Drosophila melanogaster: one gene and its partner. The gene in region 1 interacts genetically with each later gene. Each region holds a gene or a part of one and is shown on either strand. Other genes may lie near its edges.

What was found.
Region 2: of Zasp66 (region 1) and Zasp67, changing one enhances a phenotype caused by changing the other (phenotypic enhancement), as found in Drosophila melanogaster (one study listed by BioGRID).

What each region holds. Positions count from the first base shown.
Region 1 is NT_037436.4:8,622,675-8,627,594, forward strand, and holds the start of Zasp66 (Z band alternatively spliced PDZ-motif protein 66), read left to right. Parts: upstream 1-1,696; 5' UTR 1,697-1,808; coding exon 1,809-2,009; intron 2,010-3,534; exon of another isoform or gene 3,535-3,719; coding exon of another isoform or gene 3,720-3,836; intron 3,837-4,286; coding exon 4,287-4,435; intron 4,436-4,752; coding exon 4,753-4,920. Other genes in the region: GAPsec (GTPase activating protein, SECIS-dependent read-through), read right to left, coding at 1-260, 403-875, 934-1,013, 1,081-1,100.
Region 2 is NT_037436.4:9,794,579-9,799,617, reverse strand, and holds the start of Zasp67 (Z band alternatively spliced PDZ-motif protein 67), read left to right. Parts: upstream 1-1,930; 5' UTR 1,931-2,091; coding exon 2,092-2,190; intron 2,191-4,855; coding exon 4,856-5,007; intron 5,008-5,039. Other genes in the region: CG32052 (uncharacterized protein), read right to left, coding at 372-447; Ilp1 (Insulin-like peptide 1), read right to left, coding at 720-1,184.

The DNA of each region.
Region 1 (4,920 bases):
AAGTCTCTTATCTCGCTCATCAGGGCGGTAAAACAAAAGAAACAATCAGCCTCAGCGTGGGCGCGATATGTGAGGTCAGGATCGGAGGCCATAACATAGTAAATGGGTCCCACGATTTCGTTCATGCCCTGGACATATCCCTGGCCGGGATTTAGTTTGGCATAGATGAACAAAATGCGTTGCACAACTTCCCAGTGAGCCTCTTGGCCCTCCTCCATGGCGGCATAGTTTTCAACGGAGCGTTTTGTAATCAAATTTATCTATATAGAGCACACATATTCATTAGGTTTGGGGCAGTTCCAGATGGGCTTACTTACTTGCTGCTAAAATCCACACGGTATGCATGAATGAAACAACACATTCTGAGCTTATTGTCTAGCACAATTCCGATCTTGAACTCACCTTTGTCATGCCGAGGCCCTTGCGTTCCACATTCGCCGAACTTAGAACGGCGGGAACCACCCGTTCGTGGAGCCTTCGTCCATGCTCTCCTTTGCTGTGGACCACAATCTCGCAGGGATAATCGGTGGGCTGCTGGAAAAAGGATATGTCCGGGCACAAGCGGCGGACATCCTTGTCGATTTGCAGTAGAAACTCGTTATCATTGAAGAACGTGTTCCACGCGCTTTCGGGTCCCTCGCTCAGCGGATGATCTTGCAGGCCAACGCCCCCCGAATCGACTTTGTCCCCATCTCCTCCGTCTACGCTAGCTCTATTGCTCGAGTGTCCGGGGGGCAGGACTAGCTCCTCGATGAACTGTTTATACAGGGCTCGCTTTTGGGCCAAGGTTGTGGTCCAACTACTGCGCCTAGGCCCCAAATAGCCAAGGAGTAGCTTCCAACTGAGTGCTCGAAAACTCTGCACATCGGGCACACCTGTGGAGTGCTCAGACTTCAAATTTTGAACATTTCAAATGCACTCTTAGCTTTCTACCATTAAATGCCAGTTTCCTGAGTTGTTTCAGGTCAATTAAATCCTGTGGCCCCGCCAAAACATCCTCAAATTCCTTGACTCTGCATTTTGGTTAGAGAAAGTCTTTGTTTACGGAGAAGTTTGGATTAGCTTAGAATAACAGCTTACCGCGCCTTGAAAATAGACATGCTGCGGCTTTATGTGGGCGGGGCTATGCTGAGATCTTGCAGTACCCCTATGTGTAATTAATTAAAGCTTTATCTCAGTTTTATGCTGGGTGAAATCTGCAGGTATAAAACACAACAAAACAATGGGCGTTGCCAGATGGTTCGAGCTCTAATCGATTATTCTCTGCGACTATCGATTTTTGAGTGCATTGGGCGGTAAAATTCAAAGTTTTTAACGATTAAATTTTATAAATAAATCGAAATTTTAAATGGTTTACTGTCCTCGTAAAAATGTATGTAATTACCTTCTGTCTTAATTGTATTGTTCTTTTTAATTAATTAATTGAAAAACTGTTTTTAAGCTGGTTGCCAGATCTTGTAAAGCTGAAGGCGCTATTGTTTAAATTGTAAATGAAAATGATTAAATCATGATTATTAGATATTGCTTGTATGTATTTTCTTTGCTCAATCAAATTTACTAACTGAAACATCAATTAATCCATTCATAATTCTCCGCGTCTCACTATTTCACTGGATTTTGAATGAATAATAATATTCTGTTTTCGCTCATTTTCTCTGATTTTTTCTCCGCTTTTATTTGATTTTTCAATTGCCTACTAGTGCACACACACACGCAGTCGCGAGCAGACGCGTTCGAATCGTAGAATTTAGCGCATATTTCTGAATGTGCGGAGCATTTCTTTTGTTTACTCTAGTCGCTGGCCAGCAATGACGACCAGCAGATCATCGGCGTCCGCGTCATTCAGTCGACCGGCTTTCTGGAAGGTGCCCGGTTACGAATTGCCCACGTCCTATCGTCCACAGCCGACCCCAAAACCGCCGCTCGTACCGCTGCCATCGCCCTGCAGGCGGCGCAGCAGCAGCGGACTGAAGAAGCGCGTCCATTTTGCCGATGAGCAAAACGTGGGGGTAAGTCCAAGTGGCCGAGAAAAGTGGAAGCCCCAACCCCTTTCAAATCGCCCGGCTTGTCAATCATCGCGCGTGTGTTCTTTTCTTATTCGTATTCCAATGTATTTGTGGCCCCAATTCACAACAGGCCGACTCAGAAATCAGTTCAATAACATTTCGCCCCTTGCGGCTCGTAAATTTGTCAAGCCAAATCTAATTAATTGGCCACTGCTGCACTTTTCGGTCAAGTAAAATGGCCCAAAAAAGATGGATGGATCTATATTTCCATTGGCATGACTTTTATACCATTCGCAAGACGTTGGGTGAAGAATTTCGAATGATTTACAATCCGCTCAAGGCTGATCTACAGCAAAAGTCACCGTAAAAACATTACACGAATTCCAATTGAAAATGAAATGAAAACAATTCAAGCCGCAAATAGTAAAAACATTTCAAGAGCCAGCCAAAAAGTGCCGAAATCAGAATGTATAAAATTAAAAATGAAATGGCAAGCCATATATTGTGTATATATTCAGCGAAAAGCCAAAAGGCAGGAAAAGATTTTTCCGCTGTAAACAGTAAAATTGTTGCCAAAATCGAGAGGCAGACAGAATGTTTAATACAAACCAACGTCCTTCAACCGTTGACCCGTTCATATTGCGTATACGTCACGTTGGCCGTAGACTTTTCCATTGACTAATGCATTAAAAATCTAATATGATTTGCTTATTTAAATTGGGCAAGAGTGTCGAATTGGTTGTTGCAGTTGTGCTAGTACCGCCTCAGTAACTAAAACTAATTACACTCTCTCTTGGTTGCCTCATCGTTCGGCAAACAAGTCGGAGAGGAATAAAACACTAATAAAATAGTCGAAAATGTCGAGGAAAAACAGATGCCTAGATACTTGATTTTTATGCTTTTTTGCATCAGGCGAGCTAGCTCATCAAAGCATTCGCCTAGATGATGATATGTGGCATTCATCTCTTCAGGGTCAGCGTGCAACTGGATCAAGTGCTGCCCTAAAATGTGGTCAACGAAATGCAGAATGCCACAAATGCAGGGCACACGTCGAATTAAACAATGGGAACAATGTGGGAAAAGGTTTGAGTTTGTGGTGGCTTGCGGATGCTCTTCGCGATTTGGGTATATATAATAATGAAAATAGTAAAGCTTTAAATACATGGCACACATGCAAGCAATCATGTTTATTAACACTGCGTATGCGTAATTTGATATGCAGCCGCTTATCAAGTATACGCCTAATTATCTTGTGGTAATTATGAGCTTTGCCGAGGTAAATGCTCCTGATGCTTTTTGAATCCACGACATCCGCTCTGAGAAATTCAGAGTGCTCTTAGCGGAAACCCCATTTAACGATTAGGATTCGCCAATCGAATTCATGTTTCTCAGCATGTAGTCGCCGTTGCCGGCGGATATAAGTTGTACATGTATGTACATATGTGTATGTAAGAAACAAACTTGTGGCGCAGTGTACTCTGCTGCCGCTGCTGTTGCTGCAAAAAGGAATACGAATTGTATTTTAAAATTAGTACTTGAGCAGCTTTGCGATCGAACAAAACGCTTAACGGATTGCAATCGCGCGCCGCCTGCGGCTCGGCCAGAAAAGGCCAGAAAAAAAAATAAACAATAAAAAATAAATATATATTTTCGGGATAAACCATCGCTGGATCGGATGAGCGTCTGATCTTCCAGTCTATCTTCAACATCAGGATGAGCCCCAAGCTGCATGAGTTTGCGGTGGTGCTACTGCGCGATGGTCAGGCCACGCCCTGGGGCATTCGTTTGGTGGGCGGCAACGATCTGGACACGCCGCTAATTATCACCAGGGTAAATGGGCGTTATATAACCAGAGAGACTGTCGCCTTGTGGTCGCTTGTGGTCCATTCATCAAAATTGAGCCAGAGAAGAAATGCCTGAGGAAAAGCGATTGGCCTTTGTGCCCCGCATGCCGCTTTGTTCTCAGCGCCCAAATAAACAACAACAAATCAAAATAGCGAAACGGGCACAGCAACAATAAACGCTGCAGCGTTGCCAAAATGCGACGCCAGTAAAACTAATTGAGGCGCAACCGAATAGTCGAAGAAAATTTCCACTTTTCCTACCTACCCCCTTTTCACTGAGCTGCGATGTAAACACACACATTTTGGCGATCATAATTCTGTCTGCATCTATTTAGGCACCCATAAATCTGTGTCAAGGTTGCAACCAGCCCGTTGCACCCTATACTATGTGTGTCTAATGACCTTCCCACCTCCTTTTCCACCCCACCCGTTGCAGGTGCAAGTGGGCAGCCCAGCGCATGGCGAACTTCTAAGAGGCGACATCATCTCGAAGATCGGCGAGTACGACGCACGCGACCTGAGTCATGCGGATGCACAGCAGCTGTTCCGCGGCGCTGGCAACGAGATCCGCCTGGTGGTGCACAGGTGAGCCAGGAAATCCGTGTATCTGCATCAAAGATACCAATCAGTTCCGTATGTTTAACATCAATTTCTTCTACGAGTGTCAAGTGTATTGAGTAAAGAGAACACCTTCATTTTAGTTTTCTGTTTTTTAAACAGGGCTTTTATCATCATAAAAGTTAGTTGATTATAGTCATAGTATAAAAAACTTAACTTAAGTTTTACTCCATTGCCAAAAGGAAACCTTCGTCTTGGATCAATTTGCACTAAGAAACGTTAGGAACTGATTTTTCTTTTGTATGGTCTGTGATATGACAAATATTAATAATTCTAAATTGCAGGGACAACAAAATCGCCTACACGCAGGGTGCAACTCAGGAGGCAGGTCCTGGATCTCGGAGCAACTCCACTTTGCCGCCGGTCACTCCGGATCTGATGCCCCACCGCGGTCCGTCGCCCTTTTTGCCCGGACCCAGCCACTTTGAGAGGGCCCTCCAGTTGCCGGTGGA
Region 2 (5,039 bases), 1.2 Mb from region 1:
GTCGGTCTCTCGGGGTCGGGGTCTGGATCCACACACATGTTATCCTCAAAAGTCAGGTTGTCAAATTGTGTTAGGATGCGATGAGTGCATTCCGGAGTTGGCTCTTCTCTCTAACGCCTGGCTAAACTCATTCAATGTCAAAGCTGACTTATGCAAATGGCTATTGGAAAATTGTGGGTGGTTTTTGGGTGGCTGTGTTTGGGAGAAGAAGGGCTTTGTGGGCGTTTTGCTGTCAGCCAATTAAACAATTTATGTATAAACAGCCAGGCCGTACTAAGCCCTGCATTTATGAATACCAAATAAGTCCTTGGTCTTAAAGTTACCTCGCCTTTACAGCCCGTTTGCCTCTACCATTTCTACCCTATACTTACCAATCCGCGCCTGGGCGCCCGGCAGGCCGGAGTAGGCCAACAAGAACCCGAGCCAGCTGATTGGAGCCAGCAGCATCCTGGCAACGAATTACGCCTCCTTGGTACTTTTCCTTTGACTGTCTTGTCTTTGCCGCTCACACAAATTCTTCTTTTTGCACTGTCTACTTTTATTCATTAGTCAAAGTTGGTGCTGCATAAATAAGTGATTACGAATTGGATTACGAATGCTGTTAGGAGAACGGGTGTACATATAGTATGTATGTGGGAATGCCATGTTCAAGTGTTCGTATGTATGTATGTATGTGTATGCATGCTGGGTAATGAATGTGTGTGTGTTGGCCAAGTGTCCTATTTCGGTAGACAGTAGATGGCTAACTCCAAGTAGCTGCAGGTCTTGACGCAGCACTCGTCGTAGACGCCACCGGTCAGGTGTCTCCTGTGGCGACGCATCTTGATCAGGACCTCGGATCCGTACAGATTGGTTAGCAGTGGACTAAAAGAGTATCCTGCCCCGTCCAGTGTCTGCCACATGCTGCTATCATCCTGCACCTCCTGCTCCGTGTCCTCGTCGTCGTCGCTGTTGCCCAGCAAGCTTTCACGTTTCCTTGGCAGCGTATTAAAGCCATGGGGACACACCACATCCATGGCATCGGACAGTGCGGGGCCGCAGAGTTTGTGGTTTCCGGGGGGCAGCAACTGGTGACCACTGCCAGTCGGCGTGACCATTGCCATTGCAGCGGTGAGCATGGCTGCGATGAGCAGCGACTGGAGCCGAAGGCCATGTACTGCTGCACCGTTGTGCTGGCTAAACATCTTGGATATGCAGTGAATGCTCTGGGCTGCAACTGGTATTTATACCACTAAATCGGAAGCGCTAGCTAATGCAGTTCAATGGCCTCTTCTGCAGTCTAGCATTGCAGTGGCATAGCAAGCCCCACGGGCGTACAAACTGCAAATCCTTTGATCACCCATGTTTCAGGTACCGTTTTTCCCCTAAAAATGCAAACTCTATTTCTAGCTCTACTCCCCAATTTGGATGGAAAAGCGATGCACTGTTGTTTTGGTAGTTGGGGTATTGTATTGTATTTCTTAGCAAATATCAGTTGTATCATTACCTATATCTATCTATACCAATAGTTTGGAATGTATTTGTAAGACATTTTTAAGATATTCAGAAGAGTTAGCCTTATGGGACTTGCTCTAAAGTGTGAATTGATGCACACAGCTTTATCGAGCATAGTTTTCAGTGTAATCACCGCCAAAAAATCCGCCCACTTCAAAGCATAACCCGTTCGCCCAACCTGTTACATTGCCGCTAAGAGGCTCTGACTGCTGTCGATTGCGATTACGATTACGACCAGATATCTGTGGGGCATGGGGATAAGGGGTATGTGGGCCGATGGCTGACAGTGTGGCAGCCTCATTAGCATGTCGTGGCCAGGAGGAAAGTATGCTTCGATGAAGCTCCTCCGGCGGCAGTGTGCGAAATCGCTTCGATCACCATCATCGCCATCGCCATGGCCACTCGATTGTCGAGTTGCACGCACGGCGATGCCAACAGTTGGTTGCCAGCGCTGCACTCGAAACACTCGCTTCTTCCCACCGACCGCAAAGTGCCGGAAAAGCTAGAAAAAAAGCAAAAAAAAAAGTGGAAGAAAATTCGCGATAGAAAACGGAAAAATCGAAACGAACAAAAAAAGTCGGAATAAATCAAGGAAACATGGTGCTCGACATTAAGATGTGCCGATTTGATAATGTGCCCTGGGGCTTTCGCCTGGTGGGCGGGGCGGACTACGATTATCCGCTGACGGTGGTTAAGGTTAGGCCCGATTCGAAAAAAGAACGAAATCTATATGCTGCAACCCCCACCCCCCCACGCATCACCTCAGCCCATTCACCTGGCGGATGTTCATAGACCAGTGGAAAATATTGCTCACTATGCAGCTGATGAATCACATTGGATTAATTCGATACGATACGTTCGAATCAGTTTTATTTGTTCGATTGCAATATTACGTAACGCCGCGATGCGTGTGTGTCCATTCGGATTTGCTGCATTGGCAAATTAGTTAATTAAAGTAATTCCTCTCGCTTTTGTTTATCTAATCGACAGGGCCATACATTTCCCGCTAATGAGCCGCATAATGGCAGCGGCAATAAACTTATTCAAATTTTAATTGTGTTTCGCTGGCAGTTGGTCCTTTGTTTGTGCATAAATTGCATTTGGCAATTCGCATTTTGTAACATTGTGTTGACAATTCGCAACCAGCAACAATAACAAAAATACAATACATACAATACTATAGCATCGTCGTAAATCCGAAACAAATGCGATTTTTAATTGGCAAACTGCTAAGCGCATAAAACAAATGACCGAAATGCGAGGGGCGCTAAAAAATCCCATCCCTTCGATACGAATAAATCAATTTAAGCCGCAGAGTCAAGGAAGGGAGGTCATAAATTGTTTTTGACTTTTTGGTTATTTTTTTTTTACCGTTTTACATAAACAAATTATGCTATGGGTTATTTTAAATTCCGATCAATTTATAAAATGTTTGTGCTTTGGGATATGCATACCATGAAAAAATGGAAGTTTATTGTAAATGAATTATTAACTTCACAAGCTGGCTGATAGAGAAAAAACTGAAAAATGTCCGGAATGTTCTTCATTCCAATGAACTCCCTAAATTAACTTAGCTAATTTATTCCTTATACTAATACTCCGCTTTTAAGAATTCCTTACTACATGTTAGAGACTCAAAAAGCACATCCTTCGACTCGAGTCCATATTACTTTATGGAATGTGCCAACACACCTTCACATATTGGCTCTGCAAACACTAAACAATCCTTGGTAATCTTTTGAAAAACCTCTGTTTACACTACCACTCTTCGTCATGCTGCTCGCCACATACAGTCTGGTACATAGATGTATGGCCCAGCTAAGCCCAAAGCCTTTGTTCTATAAATATTCGCAACCTCCGACGATGTCGAGTGCTTTTTGCTCTGCGAATTCACCGCTGGAAATTGACTCTACCATAAGTGAAATGCAAGAGACCCCTGGGACTGAAAGGAAAGACCCTCAACTTGGTTGGGTGAAATGGTGGAGTCTCCAACCCTCCACCTGCTCCTTGTGCCAACCACTTTTTTTTTTTTGCAGTATTTGCATTACTAAGTCCTCTTGGCAGTCGGTGTCGTGACTTTCTGGTTATGAACCCTGCTTTCTCATAACGGAAACGAAAACAATCGCGTTTATTTGCCCACGAAAGTGTTACAAAACTGCCTGAATTATGCAATAGAATTCTTTGAACAGAGTGCTAAGATATTTCGCATTTTGAAGGCGAAACATAATTCATCCATAACTATTAGTTTGATGAATTCTCACTTCGTATGCTGGCAATTTTGAAGGCCGAAGTGGCAAAACCATTTTAAATGAATTCCTACAATTTATATGCTCAATTTGCGCCAATTTGTCTGTACTTTATTACCCACAAAAGCCATAAAGCTTATATTGTATTTAGTTGTTATTGTTCTCGCAACATTTTCACTTTGATTTATAGTTGCGAAAATAAATGTTGGCAAATGCAAATTTTTGAAACGATATTCTCTTACACGGTCATTTGGTACCATTTCCGGAATATACATTTACCAATTTTCCAAAAAAAGAGCCATAAATTGTATTATCCAATTAAAACGATTAGTCCAGTGGGTTTTTATTTCTAAAAATTTAATTTTGTAATTAGAGAAAACTATTGTGAACTTTGGATGACCTAGAAAGTTTCATTAGTTGTACATTATTTTTTACCCCCGCTTTAAAATTGCAGAACTTCTGTAAAAAAAAGCTTTTACAAGCTATTTAAATATTAGTGGTAGAGTTGTTTGAACATTTATCTTTTTGGAATCAGCAATATTTGGTTCTCTATCCTTACAAATTAATCTTCTCTTTAAGTGAACTCATAACTTTGTATATATGTACGTATGTAGAATCATCCTTCAACTCAAACATTTCCATCCGGCGAAACAATGCAATATTTGAGTGGTTAGACATGGGTAATTCCACTTGACTCGCTTAACTGAAGTGTCGTTAATGAGCTGCCACTTCTACTCGAGCACCCCTCGTTCTGAGCCCCCAGCCCCCACAGATCCTCTGTAGCCCCCCCATCTCCTTGGGCATTGTCTTCGGTTCTGTTGGGTTTGTGCGTGATTGTATGATTGTCTGTTCGGGGGTCTGGGTCTGCTGGTCTTTGTTTTGTTGACATTTGGCGCGCGTTTTATTTTTATGCACTTAGCACGCGACGTCGCCGTTGTCGGCTAATAGAAATTTCCCCATTATCGCATCGCATCCCATTGTATTGTATCTCGGCTATCTCGACTATCTCGGCCTCGCACTCATTCTATCGCCACATTCCCATATCCGCATCTGAATCGGGCGATATCTAGGCATTCCCATCTAGATCTAAACATGTCCATATGCTTCAACGTTAGGTGACCGAGGGCAGCATTGCTGACGAGGCTGGACTGCGGGTCGAGGATATCATCGTGCGCATCAATGACACGGCTGCCACGCCCCTTACCCACGACGAGGCCCACCGCCTCATTATGGGCAGTGGAAGCGTCTTCTATTTTGGCGTCTACCGGTGAGCTTTCCCATCCTTCTATTCCATACCAT